Drosophila melanogaster: one gene and its partners. The protein of the gene in region 1 interacts with the protein of each later gene in a pairwise test. Each region holds a gene or a part of one and is shown in the gene's direction. Other genes may lie near its edges.

The links. The genes of interacting proteins can lie anywhere in the genome.
Region 2: the proteins of mri (region 1) and Prosalpha3 interact in a two-hybrid assay, tested with the Drosophila melanogaster proteins (one large-scale study listed by BioGRID).
Region 3: the proteins of mri (region 1) and Lmpt interact in a two-hybrid assay, tested with the Drosophila melanogaster proteins (one large-scale study listed by BioGRID).

Annotation. Positions count from the first base shown.
Region 1 is NT_037436.4:194,343-202,652, forward strand, and holds mri (mrityu), read left to right. Parts: upstream 1-5,831; 5' UTR 5,832-6,129; coding exon 6,130-6,718; intron 6,719-6,828; coding exon 6,829-7,026; intron 7,027-7,098; coding exon 7,099-7,416; intron 7,417-7,474; coding exon 7,475-7,689; 3' UTR 7,690-7,810; downstream 7,811-8,310. Other genes in the region: rno (rhinoceros), read right to left, coding at 1-2,261, 2,331-2,947, 3,006-3,195, 3,248-3,464, 3,538-3,732, 3,794-4,245; Gk1 (glycerol kinase 1), read right to left, coding at 7,872-8,087, 8,147-8,310.
Region 2 is NT_033778.4:20,991,096-20,996,823, forward strand, and holds Prosalpha3 (proteasome alpha3 subunit), read left to right. Parts: upstream 1-3,804; 5' UTR 3,805-3,895; coding exon 3,896-3,898; intron 3,899-4,007; coding exon 4,008-4,213; intron 4,214-4,350; coding exon 4,351-4,936; 3' UTR 4,937-5,023; downstream 5,024-5,728. Other genes in the region: CG3216 (uncharacterized protein), read right to left, coding at 1-76; dgt3 (dim gamma-tubulin 3), read right to left, coding at 1,234-1,377, 1,442-1,619, 1,679-2,344, 2,406-2,768, 2,831-3,159, 3,211-3,228. UniProt on the Drosophila melanogaster protein: The proteasome is a multicatalytic proteinase complex which is characterized by its ability to cleave peptides with Arg, Phe, Tyr, Leu, and Glu adjacent to the leaving group at neutral or slightly basic pH.
Region 3 is NT_037436.4:16,895,531-16,902,619, forward strand, and holds the start of Lmpt (limpet), read left to right. Parts: upstream 1-3,884; 5' UTR 3,885-4,522; coding exon 4,523-6,538; intron 6,539-6,598; coding exon 6,599-6,661; intron 6,662-6,847; coding exon 6,848-7,089.

The DNA of each region.
Region 1 (8,310 bases):
TCTTTGTCCGAAATGTCGTTCCCCGTTGAGAAAGATTCTAGAACGGGTTTGCTACTCTTTAATTGCTCCGCTGCCTTCTTAGCCGCTTGCCGTTGAGGAACCAATGAGACTGCAAAGTTCGACTTGGCTGAGACTGGGGTAGCGACGACAGATGGGGGCTTGCTTTGAGTATGCGTTGGGAGGGCAGGCTTGTCATTTTCCGTAATAGATGGCGGACGTGCATCCTTTGGGACCTTTGGTGGCCTTCCGCGCTTTCCACGTTCAGCAGGTGCGCTTTCGGACGTTTTTCCAACAGTCTTCTGTAAGTGTTCTTTTGGTCGTACTTTTTCAAGACTTGATTTATCCGCTTCATTCGACACACGAGAGCTTGAATCCTTCACCTTGCTCTTTGCAGTTCCTGAAATGGAGTTTATGTCTGGCTCTCTGACTCTGTCGGACACATCTGGCTGTAGCGTCGTGGCGAGATTTGTGGATCGCATGTTCTCAGAAGCCTTTTTGGCTGCCTGGCGCTGTGGCACCACCAAAAGATCTGCCGGATACAACTTGGCATTCGGGTTCGGTTTGGTTTTTGTACTGTTGCCGATACTGGCAGCCCCTTCCTTTCCTTCCCGCGTGTTCTTCGCTTTACTAGTTGAGGACGCTGCTTGGGAAGTAGAGGATGTTGTGGCTGCTGTTCCTGGCACAAACTCTTTCATAGCTGCCTTTGTTCTAATCGTCTGTTGGTTTTGTGAGTCACTAACATTACTTTCCACGGTGGCCTGCTCCTCCTGGTCTTTTTCTTGTTCAGAGGAACTGCTCTCAGAGTCGGAGTAGATATGCTGTCCCAAGTTTCTACCAATGGCCGAACCAGTCGTGGCTAGTCCGGAAGTCGTTGTGCTCTCACGCTGTCGTTCCCCTCTTAGAGGCAACAATTCCTCACTTTCGTCGCTCGATACGCTCTCATCGGCATCTTTATCCATTTGGGCAAGTCCTCGTGTTGTCGTAGACAACTTTCGTCTTGCAGAGGCTCCAGTTCCCTCTCCAACGTCTGCTTCCGTTGTAGGTTTTGACCTACTTGCCTGGCTCCTATTAGGTACTGATTTGCTTTGAATTGGCCCCCGTCTCGCACCGCGCTCTGGTTCTTGGCGGTTTCTACATCGCTCGTCTTCACCGTCGCTGGAGCTGCTTGCAGACCTGGAATCCGGATACGTTGCAGACGCACCCGCAACTGCTTCATTTTGACGTCGCTGTCGCTGTTTTTGCCGCTGCTCAACGGACCGAGCGTAGCTTTGCTTTTTAAGGGGACTTCCTGAGGAAGACTTTCGCTTGGAGACTCCGCTACCCGCGCTAGAGCTACCGCTTTCACTACCCGAATCACTTCCTGAGGAACTATCGGAGCTGCTGGTACCATTCGCCGAGCTGGAATTACCTGATGATATAGTGCCGCTTGACGAATGGGAGGTCGTGCTACTGCGGATATTTGAGTGGAATTGACTTTTGTTGTGGGTCGACGTCGCCGCCGCCGCGCTGCTCTTCGAGGCACGCCTCCCTGTAGGATTCTTCCCTGGCGGAGACCGTACCTTGGATGTAGTCGTTCCCACCTTACTCCCTGCCACAGTCTTCTCAGGCGATGACGTGCGTGAACTAAGAATGCCATTATTAAGCTTCTTGTTTGGCGAAGCTTTAGCAGGCTGCTTGCGTTTGTTAGGAGACTGCGAGGCACGGCCACGGCCCTGTTTACCACTCTGCAGCTTACCCATAAGCTGTTCAAGGATGTATTTCAAATCCTGGTACTGCGCCGGCACAGTTTGTCCTCCCACAGAGCTGTAGAAACGGTCATACAAAGTAGGTCCGTCGTTGGCGTAGATTACAGCGTTCAGATCCATCACAGGTTGTTGCTGCTCTTGTTTGGTCTGCTGCTTCTCCAAGCGCATCTCATCCAGAACTCCCAGCTGCTTGTAGAATACCTGCTCACGTAGCTTAAAGAGAGAGCGCGAAAGCTTTTCTCTTCGACTAACCATATAGCAGAGATTACGAACTCGCTCCAAATCCTGTCGCAAATGCACCACCAACTTATGATTTTCCATGTCCTGTTGCTCCTGCTTGCGGGCTATCATCTCCACATCTTCGGACTTGGGCGGGATAAGCTCGCGATTGTGTCGAGACTTTCTCTTAAGCTTCCAATAATTGTATATGGCAACAATAGCATCGTCGTCGACATCAAATAGATGGCAACTGATGTCATTAAAGTTAACATGCTTATCGAACTCAGCTTCCACCTCCTGAAAATCAATGGGAAAAGTTAGCAACCGAATGCATGCAGAAGGCACAACGGAAAAGAAACTACTAACCTGGAGGCGCTGAGCTCTGGCTTGGTTACGTTCCTCGGAGGTCAGTTCGGTTTTACGGTGATTTTTCCGCCTGCGTGGATCCTCTCCAGTTGTCCCGCACGCGTTGTTGCCGTCGTCGGCTCCTCCACCAGCCCCACTGCCGTATCTGTTTGCTTTCTGCATGGCGCTTGCGACTGAGGCACTGCCTCCCCCATGACTACCAGCATTTTCCTTCTTACCCTTGCTCATACTGTGTTTCTGACAATAAGAGCGCAGCTTCACGCCGTCCTCAGCATTACCTTCCTCTATGATTGCACGCATTTCCAGGCCATGCTGAAACGCGCAAGTCACATGGTATGCTGTTTTGCAGGGCTTTACTGAGCACTGGATGCAGCTGCCAACTCGCTTTCGGCAGAGTACACAGATCAGGGACCAACGCGACTGAGGAATGCTAGAGATTTTCGTGATGGGTTCCATGCGATCCACACACCCAATGCTGACCTCGGGTATCCACAGAGCGCAAGAGACGTGTGCCCAGTGCTTACCCGACTTGTTGGATTTCATAGCGCCGCCCTTATTTGGACAGAGGACACAGTCCGGCTTAATTCCCATCGAACAAGTGCGGCATAGCCATTGTCCTGAAACAAAAGTTTACATGAGCACACTAACATTTCCACTCCACTAGGTGCTGCTTACCTGATGGAATTGCTGTAATGCCATAACACGCCTGGTGCACACAGATATTGCAATTATCACAGAATACCATTTCGTTCGCCTCCTCGGAGTCGGGCGATCGGCAAACATCGCAGATGACATTCTCATCGAATTCGATGCCCAAGCCTTCTTCCAGTTTAAGTATGACTTGAATCTGTTCCCAGCAACGAACCTAGAACGCAAAAGTCAATATATTGGTTCAGCATGGGGTCTAGTGAGCTTACCTCTAGCTCCTCAATGACGCGCTCAAACTGCGTCGCGTTTATGGGAAAAGCACCACATTGGGCACGATCGCTGTTGTAGAGACGCAACCAGGCCTCGTCAATAGGATCTATATCATAGGCACATGTGTTCTCCGCCAAGGCAACAACATTCGTCAGGTAATGCAGATCCGGCGAGTAGTGCTCGTCTTTGGTAATGCGCAGATAGCGATTTTTCGGGCTGTAAACGAGAGCCGCAGTTCAGTACAGAAATTCACAAGTACGAAAAAAAAATATGCTAGGTATTAACTTACAGCTTAAAGTCGTGCGCTGGAGACACAACAGGCTCGGGCAGAACATAGACGCATGGCTCAGGAAGGGAGTCTGGGTTAACGGGCACTTGCACACCCTTTTCCCATTCCTGCTTCCATGGGTCTGTTACTATTAAATACTCGTAGTTGGCCAACGGCTCAGAGTCTGGCAATTTCATTGCGCTAATGAGATCCTTGCTGCAATTAAAATTTGAATATTATTGAATCGTTTCTAATTGGTTTGCTGGTCTGTTAATACCGGTAAAGTTCAGCTGGAGCTTCCGTTGAGCTTCGATTGTAGATGCTCGACATCTTGATGTCCGCTACAGACCGCGCCTGCCAGGAGCTACTAGAACTCGCCCCCTGCGACTTGCACTTGCTTGCCGACTTTGCCAGTTTCGTTGACTTCGATTTGCTAGTGCTGGTAGCGCCTGCCGCGGCTCTTCCTTGTCCTCCTCCCCCCGCTTCCGCCCCTGGCTCTTCATGTTTGCTTTTGCACAAAGGCAGAACTGGCACACGCTCCGATCCTGTAGCTGGACCCGATCCAGTCACTTCAGCTACTGCTGCCGTAGTGGCTCCATTAGGTGGCCTACCTTTGCGCCGCTTGGTGGGCGGCGGCTGCGGCTCAACATCCTTGCGCTGATGCTGTTGCGGCGGCGGATGGTGCGACTGGTGATGCTGCTGATTACCGCGCTTACCTCTTTGTGACATTTTTCATTGGTGTTGATTGGATATTTGTGTGTTTTTGCTTCGATTGGTACCTTGTCCCTTGTGTCTTGTGCTTGTTAGAGAACGGGTTCTTTGCTGCAAGACCTAGAAGTAAGAAGGCAAAAGCAGCTTCAATACGTATTTCACGCGATTTATTTACTAACCAAATTTACTTACTACATGCTTAAGGCCACAGTTGGCGACACCACACCGGCTGCTGCTGCTGCGCTCTCCTGGATGTGGTGCGGTCGTGATTCTTGGTGGTCCACCCTTTGTGCCCCGTGGACATGGACGCCGCTGCTGCCCCAGCCCTAATATCCAGTAGCGACGCCACTTTGCAGTCCTGTGTGCTCCGCACTTCTCCACGGGCGAGTTAGTCCACTTCCACTGCCACCTTCCGCTTGCTGCCTTTTGTTATTGTTCGTTGTTTATCCACAGACTTTTGCAAGTTTTTCTTTGGCGTTTGGCTCACTGGTTTGGATTCTCGACGAGCATTCGCTAGTCTGGTGGGAGAGAAGGCATATGTTTGTGGGTTATTCGCTTATATTAGGAGCGTTCCCAGTAAGTGTCCACATTTTCTATGCTTTCCGAAAATACACAAAAAATATAGAAAAACGTTCAAGCTGCCAATAGGTGACTGGTGCAAAACCCACAGGCGCCCTCCCGCTCGCACATAGCACGCTCGTTTAAGGGCGCGCTTACTATGCGCGTGAGTGCAAGCAGGAGGCAAGCAGGTGGCGTTCGTGTTGCATCCGCCAGCTTATACACGGCACCCAGCATACCCCTCCGACACTTCACTACTCAGAAGCAATCAAAGTTTTTGCACTTTTTTTTACACTTTTATTATAACAACTTATTTGTTATTGCTATCCGCAAACCTAGACAGCCACTCTGCTCGTCGCTAGCGCTTCCGCACGCGACACGCCCACTCAGGGCGCCACTTTCGCACTGCCCATTCTTGGGGGAGTTGGGATTTTGTTATATATTTTACATTTGGGTTTTTTGCCGCCGCAGACACACACGCCAAGCACTTGTTACTGACCGAAGACCGCTCACAGTCTTCGCATTTCGTGAAGCGTCCGTATCAAACTCACGTTTCCCAAAATCGCATTTGCGTTCGCAGGAATTACAATTCTTTTGATTATTTATTTTATTTTTGAGCAAAAATTATTTTTCTCAGATCGCCATGATGAACGGTTGCAAATTTAAACTATCGAGTGCATTTAGTCGGTGGTCGGTATCGATACACAGCTTGGGTATATACAGAGTTGCATTCGGCCCAACGCTGTATTTTGTTTTAACAACATTTAATTAATTTCCACAGAATTTTCATATTAATTTGTATTTGAAAAAAAAAGTTATTTCCATTAAGTTAAGATATGTTAATTAAGAATTTTCTTATTATTACCTCTAAATATTATAGATTTTCTTAACTTAATAGAAGTTAATAATTATGTAACAAACAATGTCGAAATGATGAAATTACAATCTTTTTATTTTTTTAGAGAGGAATTTTTTATTCGTTAAAAAAAACCCGATAAGCTGAAAACAAACATCGCGATTGAAGATAAATATCGGTTAAAAATATGTTATTGTGATTACAGAGGAAAACTATCGACTGAGCGCACCCAGGAGCCCATCTCCAGCACCAACAAGAAAAAATATGTATATTTATAACTATATGTAAAAAGGAAAAAGTCGCGTCGCACAAAGGTAACGTGAATACTATTTAATCGGACCTCTGATGCAGCGATAAGCAGGCTTTTTTTCAACGGAGCCTCGCTAATTTGACCGCCCTCTGCCAGATTGTCTTTGTCTCTCTCGAAAAGTCGGTGGAACGGTGTTGTACTGGAATATTTGAAGAGTGGCTCATCAAACGCAACAAACATGTCAAACACTCCAAGTCTGAACAGTAGTAGTAGCAATATCAGTAGCAAGGCGCCCCTTGCCCAGAAGCAGGACACGTACAGTAGCGACAGCAGCGAGGAAGTTCTCGAAACAGCCGAGGAGCGGAGGAGGCGCATCCTGAAGGAGCGCAGCCGGCTGAACCGTCCGCAGCACAATATGTCAGGCGGAGGTGCTGTGCCCAAGCACGACATAAAATCCCCTTGCGGAGCATCTCCCAGCTGCCAGGCAACTGGTTCCGGAATGGGCCGCCTGCCGCTCCCTCCCGAAAGGATCACCATGCTGGTGGACGGTGTGCGCTTCACGGTGGAGCAATCACTGCTTACAGCACATCCCACCACAATGCTTGGCACGATGTTCGGCTCCGGCTTCCAGTTCGCTCATACCAACGAGCGCGGCGAGTACGACGTTGCCGACGGCATTTCGCACTTAGTGTTCAGAGCCATTCTGGAGTACTACAAAAGCGGTGTTATCCGCTGCCCGCCCACTGTTTCGGTACCGGAACTAAAAGAAGCCTGTGATTATCTGCTCATTCCCTTCGACGCAACCACGGTGCGCTGCCAGAACCTAAGTGAGTATAACGCGAACTATTCCTGCCAGGGCGAACCTTAGTTGTGGCCACCTCTGCTTGTTTTCCGTCTCTTTCCTTGTAACATGCCCTCTGTTATGTTTGACATAAAGGAGGCCTTCTCCACGAGCTTAGCAACGAAGGAGCGCGACAACAATTTGAACTCTTTCTTGAGGACCTAATTCTGCCCCTCATGGTGGCCTCGGCGCAGCGCGGGGATCGAGAGTGTCACGTTGTGGTGCTCCTTGAAGACGATATGGTCGAGTGGGATGAAGAGTTTCCGCCTCAGATGGGCGAGGAGTATTGTCAGAGTGAGTGTATTTAAAAAATGTGTTTGCATTAGTATCACGGAAGTGGAAGCAACACTAACATTTCTAACGCAGCCGTGCACAGCACTGCCATGCACCGATTCTTCAAGTACATCGAGAACCGCGATGTGGCCAAACAGGTGATGAAGGATCGCGGTCTGAAGAAGATACGCTGTGGCATAGAGGGATACCCCACCCACAAAGAGAAGATCCGAAGGCGTCCCGGTGGACGGGCTGAAGTCATCTACAGCTATGTGCAGCGACCTTTCATCCACATGTCCTGGGAGAAGGAGGAAGCAAAGAGTCGCCATGTTGATTTCCAATGTGTAAAATCCAAGTCTGTAACGAATCTAGCGGAAGCAAATGCAGATCCGCCACTGGAATTGGACGCAAGTGCGTAAGGCTCGAAACGGAGAGTAACAGCTCCCTTAAAGCCCAAATTCGTTTTCAGGTGGAAATCCGATTCCCCCTATAGCAGTGGCTAATCCGCATCCCAATAACGCTGAGCTCGCTGCCGGTATGGCCGTCGCACCCGCAGCTATAGGCGTGGCTGGTCCAGCAGTCGTGGTAGCCGTCGACGAGGCGGCCGGGGGCGTTGTAATGCTCAACGAGTTGGACCAGGCAGCGATCGCTGTTGCCGTCGGAATAGTTGATGAAAATATGTAGATCAACTGACCGGCTGGTAGTCGGAACACACTGCCAGAGCATCACAGCGCACAGAAAAACACTTTACGTTTTTAATTAACATTTTTATATGTATATGTAATAAATGGAAATTTCGAATACGAAAAACCAAGCAATTGATTTACGAATAGAAGAACATGAACGTTACCAGACATTAGCTGTGATCACGCTCCGTCAAAGGCCTCCCGTTCGCCCTGTGGAAGCGTCGAAGTCTCCCAGTTCAGTGAACGATCGATAGCCATTTTCCACTTTTGGTAGCGCAGGTTGCGATCGGTGGCACTGATCGATGGCTTTATGGCTTCTCGGGGGCCAGATTTAGAGAGTGGAGCCTCCATTTGGTATCGGTTTTCAACGGCTTTGTAGGCTGCCATTGCAGCTCCCTAAAGCATTTTTGAAGCATTATTGAAGCTGCATTTACATCACAAGTTAAAGTACTAACCAGCGCTGTTGTCTCTGCGATCTTCGCCCGGAGTACTTGAATTCCTACTAGGTCGGATTGAAGCTGCAGGAACAGATTATTCACAGTCATGCCCCCGTCTACCATAAGCTTGGCCAGTGGAATCTTGCAGTCCTTGTGCATCGAATCGAGAATATCACGGACCT
Region 2 (5,728 bases), on another chromosome or scaffold:
TGGGATTCGGATGGGCACTAAAGCAGTTGACGTACATCAGGAAGAAGAAGTGGATGCTGATCCCAAGCAGATGCATTTCGTGGAGTCTAACTATTAAACACAAAATATCCAATAAGTCTGGACCTAAGTGGCTAACTTAGCTGTAACTAGATACAAGAACAAATATTTGTTCTTTTGAAGAATTTGTCTAAATTAGGTAATTATTAGCAAAATATTGCATTTGCTCCTTAAAATTACATTACACATTCAACACCTTAACTTTTTAAATTACTAAATTTAAAACAGAATTGCGACATTAATTCTCTTATAGCCCATGCAGTATGAATATTAAATCCCATTCACTGACTTAATATCCTTTTGAACCCAAAAATCTGTCCAGATCTTCAAATTCGCCGAGCAGCACTTGAGTTTTAAGGGTCACATATAAATTTGAAATTAATTCAAATAGCACTAAGGGGTAATGAGTTGCGAGTAATTATCCATTTAAAGCTTTAAAATGTTCCACTTCTTTGCTGTACTCCTTTAAATTTAAAGTCCTTAAAGCAGTCCAAATATTTAATGTTTTGTAGAAGCACTTTTTAAGGTTTATTTGACTAAAAAAACACACTTTGCACAAACACTTCACTTTATCCAATTGTATTACCGGAAGTCACGAGGGGAAAGATGGCCCGAAGCACGATAATCGAGTGAACCAGTGGCCACAACTGTTGGTCCTTTTATATCCGCAAGGACCTCTGCTCGGCAAAACTCGTCCTGCAGCCCGAATGCCGGCAGCCAATGAGAGTCCTGCAAATCGGCGGGCAAATGACTTCGTCTGCACGGAAAGTGAATCTCTAGGTTAGGCGAACAAGGTTTTATGGCCTCACTTGTTGCTCCTTGGCCAAATCTGAATGGTAATCGCTTGGAAACGCCGTCGCGTGCCGCCAGCAATTAATGCGTCTCTTTGGTGGCACTCGTGTAGACTGCTTTAAGACGATGCTGCCTTAATACGCCCGGTGTTTAGTGAACCCAAATCTGATAGCCCAGGGAAAAGGCATTTCAAAGGGGGGAAAACAATTACCAAAGTCGTAAGCAAAAGTAAATCATGTTGCTGCCTAAGAATCTTTACATACACACATTATACAGCATCCCTAAATTTAGTGTATTGACTTATTATTAGACTAGCAACGCCGTAATGTTTATTTTTGAATAATTTAACATTTATTTACTGACCAGATTCTAAATCAACTAAGTTCACTTGCGGTGCAGACCACCACCTGGACGAATTACTGCAGCGGCTGCCTTTTTGACCTCATCAATTGCATGCATCATGCGCTGCGGCTCAGTGAGAAACCAAATCCACAGGACTACGCTATAGCGATACAGTTTATCCCGCTCCTAAAAGGATAAACAACATTAAAATGTTATATTCCATGATTTTATAGTTAATTAGTATACTTACAATGCGCCCCACGACATTTTCCAGGAAATCTTTTCGCAAGGAACGCCCTGACTCATCCAGGCGAGTTTGCTGCTGGGTGACATTGTATATGGCGCTCAAGTAGCGAACGTTCTCAAACATGGGCTGCTCCAATGGGGAATCATAGACAAACGGCCGCAAAGTCTGCTCCAAGCGCTTGCTAAAAAAAAATATTAATAGCTTAAACGATCTGTATCAAAGTTAAGTATTGCAACTTACAGTTCTGCCAGTTGATCCTGAACAGCAGCACACGACTTTCGGTTCAGCATGCTCTGAAAGGAGTAAGACAGCAGGCGACCGAACTTTTCGTATTCGAAGAGACAAGCCTTGGCCTCAGTTGCCTTTATGTTCTGTCCCAAGTGGGCTGACAACAAATTGGCAATCTCCTGCACAAACTGGGCACAAATGCCCTGATAACTGGCGTTAATGGAGCGCATGGTCTGGATTCTTTGCCAAGTGGCCTGCGCTTGGTCGCGCAACTCCTCCGAAGTGTCCAGGCAGTTGCGCTTCTTGTCGCAGTCCAGTTGGATCGCAATCCACAGCAATTCCGCATTGGACAGAGCATCTGAGATGATTTTAGTGAGCTTCTTGTCGCTTTCATGACGTCGAACAGCTCTTTCCAACTTCAGTTTAGTGTTCTCGTAGAGAACCAGCTCAATACGTCGCTGGGTGTGCTGCTGAATGTGAATGGTTAGATCGTTTAAAAGCGTATCGTGTGTATTGCTCAGTTGATAGTCGTTGAGCAGCTGCAGATCGTGCATTTCACGCGCCATGTCCGTTAAACTGAGGCAGTGAATCTTGCCAAGATCCAACTGGTCAATAAGACACTGCGTGGCCTTCACCTTGGCCTTTGTTCTTATGTAGGATAGTGCATAAAACTGGATGCTGTAAAAACGGTCATATCAATTAATGTGCATTGTTTTTAGCACAGAACCTTTGTGCTTACCCACGTTCCAAGTCCTCCAGCTTGGCCTTTTCGCGCCCAAGATCTTCCTCCGCGCTCTGGAACTCATCATAGTCCTGGATCTTAAAATTCTCCTTCACATACAGAGTAAAGTATTGCATAAATGAATCGCATTTGTGGAAATACTGCTCCAATGGCAGTTGATGCATGAATAGAGGCGGCAACTGTGGGGCGGTGAATGCCTTTTTGGCTTCGGCGCTTAGCCGGCAGTTCTCCTGCTGCAGTTCCTCCAGTTGCTTGGCTTTGGACTGGCACTCGGCTATCAGATCCTTCTCCCTCAGTTGCAACTCGGCGGTGACGCACTCCACCTCGCCTAGGTGCTTAGTTATCGAGTGCTTTGTGGTCCTGCAAAAGTGGATTGACCATCGATCGAACATATATGAGGAAGGTTACAGTTTTTCCCTTACATCATATCTTCCAGAAGCGTAGCATAATCCCTTGAGGCATCTTCGATCGCCTCAATGCTCATGGTCAAGGCGTCGACATCCTGCTGCTTGTAGTTGAGAAGCCCCGGACTTTCGGCCTCGATTTGCAGGAGCTTGAGCTCGCGATCCGAAGCACTTAGCCACTCGCCCCGCCGCTGCATCTCCTCCCGCTCCAGAACCTGTCGCTCTGTGAGGATATTTGCATCCGTGATGTTCCCGGACAGGAACTTGAAGAACATCTCCATCTGCTCATCGTACAGAATCCACTGGTTCGAGCTGTCCACTCCCAGCTTCTTGAAGAATTCCGAGTTCTGCAATCATGGCGATTATAAGCTGATCATTAATTAAATCATCACACATACGCTCAGCAGATCGCCCATCTTTTAAAAAAATGACAACACAAGCTGATTACTTATCGGTTATATCGAAAGGTTTCAGAGACGTTACTAGAGATGGTACCTTTTGAAAATTAACAGGAAATAGTGCTTAATAATTAAGCTTAATAAAAATCGTAGAAATTCCTGATTTCCTATCAACGATTTCATGAAATATTTACTCTTATCTATTTCTGTTAAATATATATATATATAATATATATAATATATATATATATATATATATATATATATAATATATATAATATATATATATATATATATATATATATAATAAATTTCTGTTTATTATATATATATATTTTATATATGAATTATTTTAAATTTTTGCTATGAAGTAAGGATACAATTTTTCTAAATTTGACACAAGTTCTTAAGTTTAATTCAAGTAAATATTATGTTTTAGTACACCTCAATCTTAAAGGGCTTATAAATTGATCTTTGTTAAAATGATTTTAATACCTTATATCGATATGTGGATAAACGTGCACACCACCCCTGGTAAATAGAAACACCCTAACGCCATCTAGTTTGCAGCCCTGGTACCGCTTTGGACGCACTTCGTGTGGCAGTCTGGCAACCCTACACTGAATGACAAGTAAATTCTGTTCGTTTTGCAAAATAAACTTGTAAATTGGTATATTCCTTAGCAATGGTAAGTACCGCGCCCAGAAGACCGGTATTGGTCTGAGAGCCACCATTGGGCCGATGACCATTGAAGGCTAGCAATCGTGGTAGTAATTGACTTGCGTGTATTTTCCCAGGCTCGCCGCTATGATTCCCGCACCACGATCTTCTCGCCGGAGGGCCGTTTGTACCAGGTGGAGTACGCCATGGAGGCCATCTCGCACGCCGGAACCTGCCTCGGAATCCTCGCCGAGGACGGCATCCTGTTGGCAGCCGAGTGCCGCAGCACAAACAAATTGCTGGACAGCGCCATTCCTTCGGAGAAGATCTATCGCCTGAACGAGTGAGTTGAAATTTCAGTAGTATATCCTACGATGAATTCAAGGGTCACAGGCCATATATTTAACTGGCCATGATCTTAATTACCCACTACATTCTCTACGAATCTATCTCTATCCAAGCCTCTTTGTTTTCCCTCAGCAACATGGTCTGCTCGGTGGCTGGCATCACCTCCGATGCCAATGTGCTGACCTCAGAACTGCGTCTGATTGCCCAGCGTTACCAGTTCAGCTACGGCGAGGTGATTCCCTGCGAGCAGCTGGTGTCGCACCTCTGCGACATCAAACAGGCGTACACTCAGTACGGCGGAAAGCGTCCCTTCGGCGTCTCGCTGCTCTACATGGGATGGGACAACAAGTACGGCTACCAACTGTACCAGTCGGATCCCAGCGGCAACTACGGCGGATGGAAGGCCACCTGTATTGGCAACAACTTCGGTGCCGCGATCTCCATGCTGAAGCAGGAGCTGGCCGATAAGGAGAACGTGAAGCTGACGCTGGCGGACGCCAAGGATTTGGCCATCAAGGTACTGAGCATGACCCTGGACACCACCAAGCTGACCCCGGAGAAGGTCGAGATGGCCACGCTGCAGCGTGTGGACAATAAGACCGTATACAGTGTCCTGGAGAAACCCGATGTGGAGAAGCTGATCGAGAAGTACACAAAGGTACAGGCGGAGGCCGAGGCTGCCAAGAAGGAGAAGCAAGCGAAGCAGCCGACCAAGTAATCCCAAGGATGCATTATTATTGATTAAGGGTCTATCCTGATTTTTGTAACCGATGTACGGAGTGTGTGAAATAAAATTTCAAAAAACAAAAACCCACTATCATTGTGCCAATAGGGATGGCCGATTAATCGATAACAGTGCCATTGCCATTCGCAGCGAAGAGCTGCTAAATATGGCCAGCGACGGGCAGTCACTAAAAAAATACCGTACAAAACATTTTGAGAAAAATTCCGTCGCTTTTTATTTGCTGTTGCTGTTATAAAAAATTCAATTATACTTGCTAAACTAACGGTTAATCGGTTTCTGCAAAGGGGCTTATGCGTAATTGGAGAGTGCGCGCAAAACGCGTGGTGAATACGGATTGGAAAACCATTTTTCATACGCAGCAAACAGGCAATGAGCGCGCGTGTGTGTGTGTGCCACAGAAAGTTGCAAGCAGCCTAGAGCTAAATAGGCGCACGGTTGTTAAATATTCACCGTGCTCTCTCGCTTTATGCAATAACAAAATCTGCAAATTCCCCCCATTAGGCGCAAAAATGTGAAAAAAGGGGGGCAAAAAAACCAATGGGAATTTCTCAATGTTGTGTCAATACAGTGAGAGCGACGTACGAAAAGTCAAAAGCAAAGGAGAGGAGAATGGAATAACACATAAAAAAAAGAGCTGAGCCACAGCAAAGAAGCAAGAAGAAACGCGAAGCAGGCTCTAAAAGAAAAATCGAAATAATAAAAAAAAAACACGCACGCATGTGTTGGTGTGTGTGAGCGAGTGAGATTCTGTGCGCGTGTAAGTGC
Region 3 (7,089 bases), about 17 Mb from region 1:
TGGCCTCCGTCGATGATTGAGCAAATGGAATTTGGCAATTTCGGTTTTGGGCTTGGAGTTTTTCGTTTTCAGCTCCCCCCGATGACATCACACACACACACACACTTATGGCCAATCCCAACCCAGGATTGCTGGGTGCCTGTGTGTGTGTGTGTGTGTGTGTGTATAGGGGGAGAGACCTTTATTAATCTTATCAAAAGATGCTTTTCTACCTTTTATTTTATTTCATTGCTTGGCCGTTTTTATTTTCGCTGAATGTCAGACCAACGGGCATGCCATAATCGTGAGCTCATTCTATCAGACCTTCTTTTTTATTTTTGTAATACTCTTCTGAACCTTTGACTGATAAATAATATTTTAAAATTAGTTAGTTTATCCGATTTACTATACAATCTGCAATTTATCTTTCTGTATACTGGTAATGGGCCTACGCACAATTTCACTGGTGTGGGCGTATTTATGATTGTGATTATTTTGCTTGTATCTCTAATTGAAAAATAAGTAAACAAGCAATTAGAGAAATTCCCAGACCGTAGAATACCGCGCAGAGGTAAAATTAAATTCTTGGATAGTAAACAAATGCTATCAGAACAAAGGTCAAATTAGCACTTTAATCAAAATGTCAATGAGCAAATAACGCGCACCGACGTGCCGAATGAAAGGTGATTTAACCTAAGTTGCGAGTTTCTCTTATTTTCGTGGAGGTGGCAGCGCGAATCACCAAAGAAGAACCGACAAATTGTGCCGAGTCAGGCAATAAGAAAAGATATTTAAGCAGAAACCCACGAGAGCCAAGTCAAGTTCATTAAGACAAACGGTAACAGTAATAGGAATAAAAAAAAAGAGAAGAAGCGAATATAAAGCCAAAAACCCTTAGTTCAAAGTGCTGTTGAAAGTGGCGTAAAATGGTGAAAATGCTCGATCTGGACCGTCACGCAGAGTGCCCACTGTGGGCGGCACTGGCCTCCTCGGATGTCCCATGGACGGGAATGGACTACGCCTGCCTGAACGTGCTCAGTATCTACTGCAAAGTATTCGATAGGAAGGAAATATACGATCTCATCGTGAGGTAAGGCAATAGCCGGGTTCGCAAAGCTGCCGCTGGATGGCGCCACGCGAACTTACGTTGAAGCATAACGAAGCTGCGCACAGTGGAATGAATTTGGAATTTATTGATAAAATATTTTCGAATTAATATTATCTTCAGCAATGTTGTTACATTGTATATAAAGTATAATGTATTAAACGACCTTATTTCCCTCTTAATTTCCAGGAAAACCTGCCAGTCCTGCAAATGTCCTCGCGAGGCGCATGCCATCTATCAGCAACAGACTACCAACGTGCATGAGCGACTCGGCTTCAAATTGGTCTCTCCGGCGGATTCGGGAGTGGAGGCGCGGGATCTGGGCTTCACGTGGGTTCCGCCCGGAGTGCGTGCCTCCTCGCGCATCAACCGCTACTTCGAGCAGCTGCCCGACGAAATGGTACCCCGGCTGGGCAGCGAAGGCGCCTGCAGCCGGGAGCGACAGATCTCTTACCAGCTGCCCAAACAGGACCTCTCGCTGGAGCACTGCAAGCACCTGGAGGTGCAGCACGAGGCTTCCTTCGAGGACTTTGTGACGGCGCGAAACGAAATCGCACTGGACATAGGTAAGACTAGATCTTTAATTAAGTTGGAACTATTGTGTTGATGTTTTTAGTAAATTCTAAAAACGAATATATACACTCTTTCACATAATTAACTTAGGCATTACACATTATGACAAGCCTGCGAATGGCTTTAGTTTAAATTGCCTGACCTCACCCAGAGTGACCTAACTAATTGCGTTTTGCATTATTTTCCTGTTGAATAGCCTACATCAAGGATGCCCCCTACGATGAGCATTGTGCGCACTGTGATAACGAGATAGCCGCCGGCGAGCTAGTTGTGGCGGCGCCCAAGTTTGTGGAGAGCGTGATGTGGCACCCAAAGTGCTTCACCTGCAGCACCTGCAACTCGCTACTCGTGGACCTCACCTACTGCGTCCACGACGACAAGGTCTACTGCGAGCGCCACTATGCGGAAATGCTGAAGCCCCGCTGCGCTGGCTGTGATGAGGTGAGTCGTCTTTGGCATAACCCCACCTATCCGATCCCTAATTGACAAATATTGTGTGGCACACTTTTGGGGCAACGTCTGCAGATGGTATCTGTGTGTCGCCTGGCAAATCAAGAGTGTCCGTGTGAGTGAGTGCTCGCTGTCACGGGCTCTGGTTTTTATCGCCCGCCGCACGCAGTTCACGTTTATTGCATAGGTGCGGCAATCGCCCTTTCCAAAGGTTATGGCATTTTCATTGAACTTCACTTGGCTGCCTGTGGGAGTCGGGGATCCCGGGGATATCTATCCTCCAGCTCCGCAAATGCAGCGACTCGCGAGTGGCGATGGCAACAAAGAAATGAAGGCAGTTCATTGGCAGCACTGGCTGTTGACGCGTTGTCATCCGTCGAGCGGAAGTTCATTGCGAGTGAGCCGGAAATTTGTGGCATTCGGTTAAGGTTAGAGATTGCTAAAAATTGCTGCAGGTATTCGCAATTTGTTATTGATGTGCACAAACTGCTTTAGCTCGATTGAAAATATCCTTTATCCATTTATTTTGATTTTAAATAGATTGGGGGTGTAATATGCAAGTAAATAAATTTTTTTTATATGCGTGTTGATCGATTTTTAATTAGAAAATGTTGGATAAAGAAATTGCATTGTCTGTCGCCTTTCGGTGTTATTGTACAAAAAACCATGTTTAAATTTATTCAAAATAAATTTAAATTACCATCAGAAACACTTTCGCTTTCGTTGCGAAAAGCAAAATAAACATATGAATATATCAGAGCCCAGATGACCCATTTATTCATATAAATCTATCTATTTTTGCCACAATTTCTAATGACAATCAGATGATGAGAATAAACAAAAGAATACAAAAATAGTTTGGCTTTGTGGGGCAAAGAACACAATTATGCCGCGTTTGACAATAATTATACTGATTCTGAAAACGCAGAAGAGAACCACAGCGAAATCGGCGATAAAGAGCCTCTGAAAGCTGCTGGCAATGTTAGTGTCAGTGCCAAGACGAAATTTATGGCAAACATTTGTGTGCAATCCGCTCGGAGGCGGCGAAATGGGGCGTGGCGACCCTGGCCCCAGGCGCTGGCAATGCCAAAGAAAACTGATTTGCAAACACCAGGAACAGTAAAAGTCATGCCCATAAGAATTACGAATGCTAAAATATATTTTTCCCACTTTCGAGAATACCAAATTTTATTGGCAAAATAAACAAAAGAATTGGGCATTTTATAAACAAAATTGTATCTCAACATTGTACTCTTAAATGTTATTTTTTCTAAAATCGGAGATACGATGTGACCATTAATGCCAAATTAAGCATTTTTATGGAAATTGGCACCTTAGCTCTGTATATTATTGCAGCCAACTGTGCGTCTGAATAATATGTGTGGTATGCAGTATAGAAAGATCATGTTTTTCAGAAAATACTTGATTTTTTATTATTTTAAAATATCAAAAGAAACATTTTCTGATTAATTTTGATAAATTGAATTTTTAAACCTGAATAAAAGGATAGGAAAGAAAAGATCCCTAAATCTTGATACTTGCTTGAGATTAAAAAACTCTTCATTATGTTATCGAAATGACAGTTGCATTTGATTTTCCCTATCCGATTTATGGTCATGTCGCTAACTGTTCTCCCGCACGAAAACGGCGAGCAAAGCAGAAAGTGGCGAAAAGTGTTTTGTGGAAAACAGCAATCGAAGCATAGACCAAAAATAGTTCCCCCCAAACGAAAAGGGGGCGCGGCCGGCGGGGTGTCGACTAAACTGATTAGAAAATCGGCTTTGGCCAATTCCGATTGCTTTGGCATTTGACACGGAGGCAAGGCAGTGCAACAACGGCAGCGGACAGAAGCAGATACATTTGTGTTGCCAAATTGCCAGCGACAAAAGTCGGCGATGTCTTGTCAGCTCTACAGGCCTTTTGCTCTCATCGCTGGCCGTCAATTAGCGCCGTTTGCCATTTGAACGGATTCGGTTCTTGGCGGTTCTCTCGCCGCTGATTCACTTGTTCTCTAGAAATCGGGGGACCCATGGGCATTGGCTGGGGCATTAATCAGTTGCAAGACGATCGATTAGCGGAAAACAAGAGCTCGCCGCCCGAGCAACTGCATCCGCCTGGCGAGTCCGCCCATCTCCGATTCTTCTTGCTTCGCGCTCTCATAAATCGTCTCAAAACGTAGATAAATGAATATATATCGATGATTGGTTCAATGATTTGTGAGCGAAAGTGAAATAAATATTTTTCGAATTACCTAATCGGCTGGCCATTAACGTGAGTGGTGTGAATTTTCGAGTGCGTGGTGAATATATTTTATATAATACGTGTTAGCCGATTCGGTTCTCGTCGACACATACTCTCATTGCATCGGCGAACGTTGGAGGATTCGGATTCCGTTTCGATTCTGGTCATTACGCAATGGCCGCTGAGGAGACGGCGCTAACCGGCGTCGGCGAGCTACTATTCTCGCTGCTAATTGGATACCTAGGTGCCCTGGAATTCGCCTTTGTGGCGCGCCATCTATACCACTGGACTTTCCAACATCCCGGCGATTCTTCTGTAGATGCAGCAGCTGACGCAGAAGAATTGCCTCGCATGCGAGAGCGATTGGATAAGCAGATCAAGGAGGCGGCGGAAAGGGAAGCCCTGGCAGGAACCAATGTCATGCAGGATGGTGTCCTATATGTCAATGGAATACGAGTAGATCCTGCTGGAGATAAAAGACAAGCTTTGGCAGCCGAACTGGCACGTCAACAGCAAATTGAAGCCGATACGAGGCGTCAGCTGGCCGAAGCCGAGGCCAAGCTGGTAGAAGAAAGACTACGAGTCCAGAGGGAGAAAGAGGAATCGGAGGAGCAGCAGAGAAAGCTCGTAGAGGCGGAAAGACAGCGCGAAAGAGAGCAGGCGGAGAAAGAACTGCAGGAACAAAGAGAAGCCGAACGCAGACAGCTAGAAGCAGAAGAAAATCAGCGTAAACAGCGCGAAAACGAGGAGAAAGAACGCCTAGAAAACGAAAGAAGGCTGATAGATGCCGAACGGGAAAGGGAGGAGAATGAGCGAAGACTGCAAGAAGCTGAAGAGCAGCGCGAGCGAGAAGAAAGCGAAAGAAGAATCGTCGTGGCAGAGCGTCAGAGAGAGCAGGCCGAAGCCGAAAAGGAGCGAGCCGAACAACAAAGGATCCTGGCTGAAGCCGAGGCAGCGCAAGCCGAGCGTCGTCTCTTTGATGCCGAGATTCAGCGAGAGCGCGATCAAGCTGACGAAGAAGGGCAAGCACTGAGGGATGCGGAGATCGTAGAGCGTCTTCTGGCAGCAGAAAGAGAGCTCAGTCCAAGCGCTACAGAGAGCGAACTGGAGGAGGATGCTGCCATCGCAGAGCAGTCGCGTCGCCTGATCTCCAGCAGAACTGATCTGGAGCAAAAACAGCGAATGATTGAGGAAAACGCCAGACGCTTTCTTGAGGCAGAAGAGGAGATGGTAATGTTACAACAGCGCCAACTTCAAGCCTCACACAGCAAAGAGGAGGCAGACGAGTATGCTGGCATGGAACCCGTGGTGGAGGAGCTGTGTGTGAAGAAAGTGGCTCCACCCAGGTTTCAGGAGCCTCCAGAAGAACCCATGGTGCATAAAGTGAAAACTCAATTTGGTCAAGGAAGTGGTCCTGAAGACGCCTACTCAGCAAAGTCAAAAACACTCACCTTCCCTGGCGTATCGGATGAAGGATCCTCTCTTGAACCCAAAACTCCGTTCTCCATCCAGCAGTCGTCCTTCAGCACGCAGCCCTCTGATGAGGGCAACAGAATCGAAAGTGAACGCCCAGAACCTGAAGGAGAAGATCAGATACAGGAAGTCCAGTACACCGAGGACTACCTTCGTTCTCTAGATGGCATTAAGAATCGTCCTTTGATGCGAGAGGATGGTTCAGGGAGAAGAAGGGCTTTTAAGAAGCGACGATCCAGTGGAAGCTCGAACTCCTCGCGGGAATCGCGAGCCTCCCGCGACGAAGAACTAAAGATGTTCACCTCGCTAGAGGAGGAGGAGTTGCGCCACGGCGACCGAGAGGACTATAACCCCATCAAGTATACGAGCGAACCTACCCTGAGGGTTAAATCCCACCGACGTCACAAAAGGAGTCCAGCAAAGGATGTTAGACCAACGGCAGAGTCGACCACATCCTTAGAGATGCTCGGTGAGGAGAGCACAAATCCCTGGGGTGAGGTTGTGCCGGAGCATTATAAGGATACCGAGTTTTGGAAGCGGGAAAAAGCGCTCTCCATAGACGAGGAGGAAATCGAACTAGAAAGACCATCCAGGGGAGAGGATGTGGAGGAAGAAGCTACAAATGAGCCAAAATCGTCCTCCTTTGAAGAGGCCACTGAGGCACAAAACGAACAGGCAGTGGCTGCCCTAAAACAACAACTTTCCAAGGAGCAGTTGGTGAGTAAATGAATCTACAAGCCGAGGATCTATATCAATGATTTATTATGTGTGTGTTAGGACAAAGAAGCGGAGAAGGACAACCCGCAAGCAGTGGATACCAGCGACAGCAACAAATCCAATGTAAGTGCGTAGCACAGACACCTGGCATCATTTCTCACCCAATAATTTCGACCACAACCTAATCCACCAATCGCAGACACCACTGCCGCATAACTAACTGTCCTAACTGCTTTACCTCTTTGCTTTTCATATTGCTACTGCTCCCACATTCCGCTTGCTTTTCCGCTTCACCTTTCCCCCAAAAAGCTGCAAACCTCTATCGCAGCAGAGGAGCAATCAAGGGGTGGTTCACCTGGCTTGCGACGCAGTCCACGTATGGATGAAATGGAGCATTATCCGGAGCGCTGGTCCGCCAGCCAGGAGCAGCAGTCAGTGCAACAGCAGCCACCGCGAACAGCACCAGCCATCAATGTCCAGCAGCCGGATACGGCTCCTTGGCGGGATCAGTACGGATTGCTAATGGAAGGACTTAGCGATTTCTACGACTT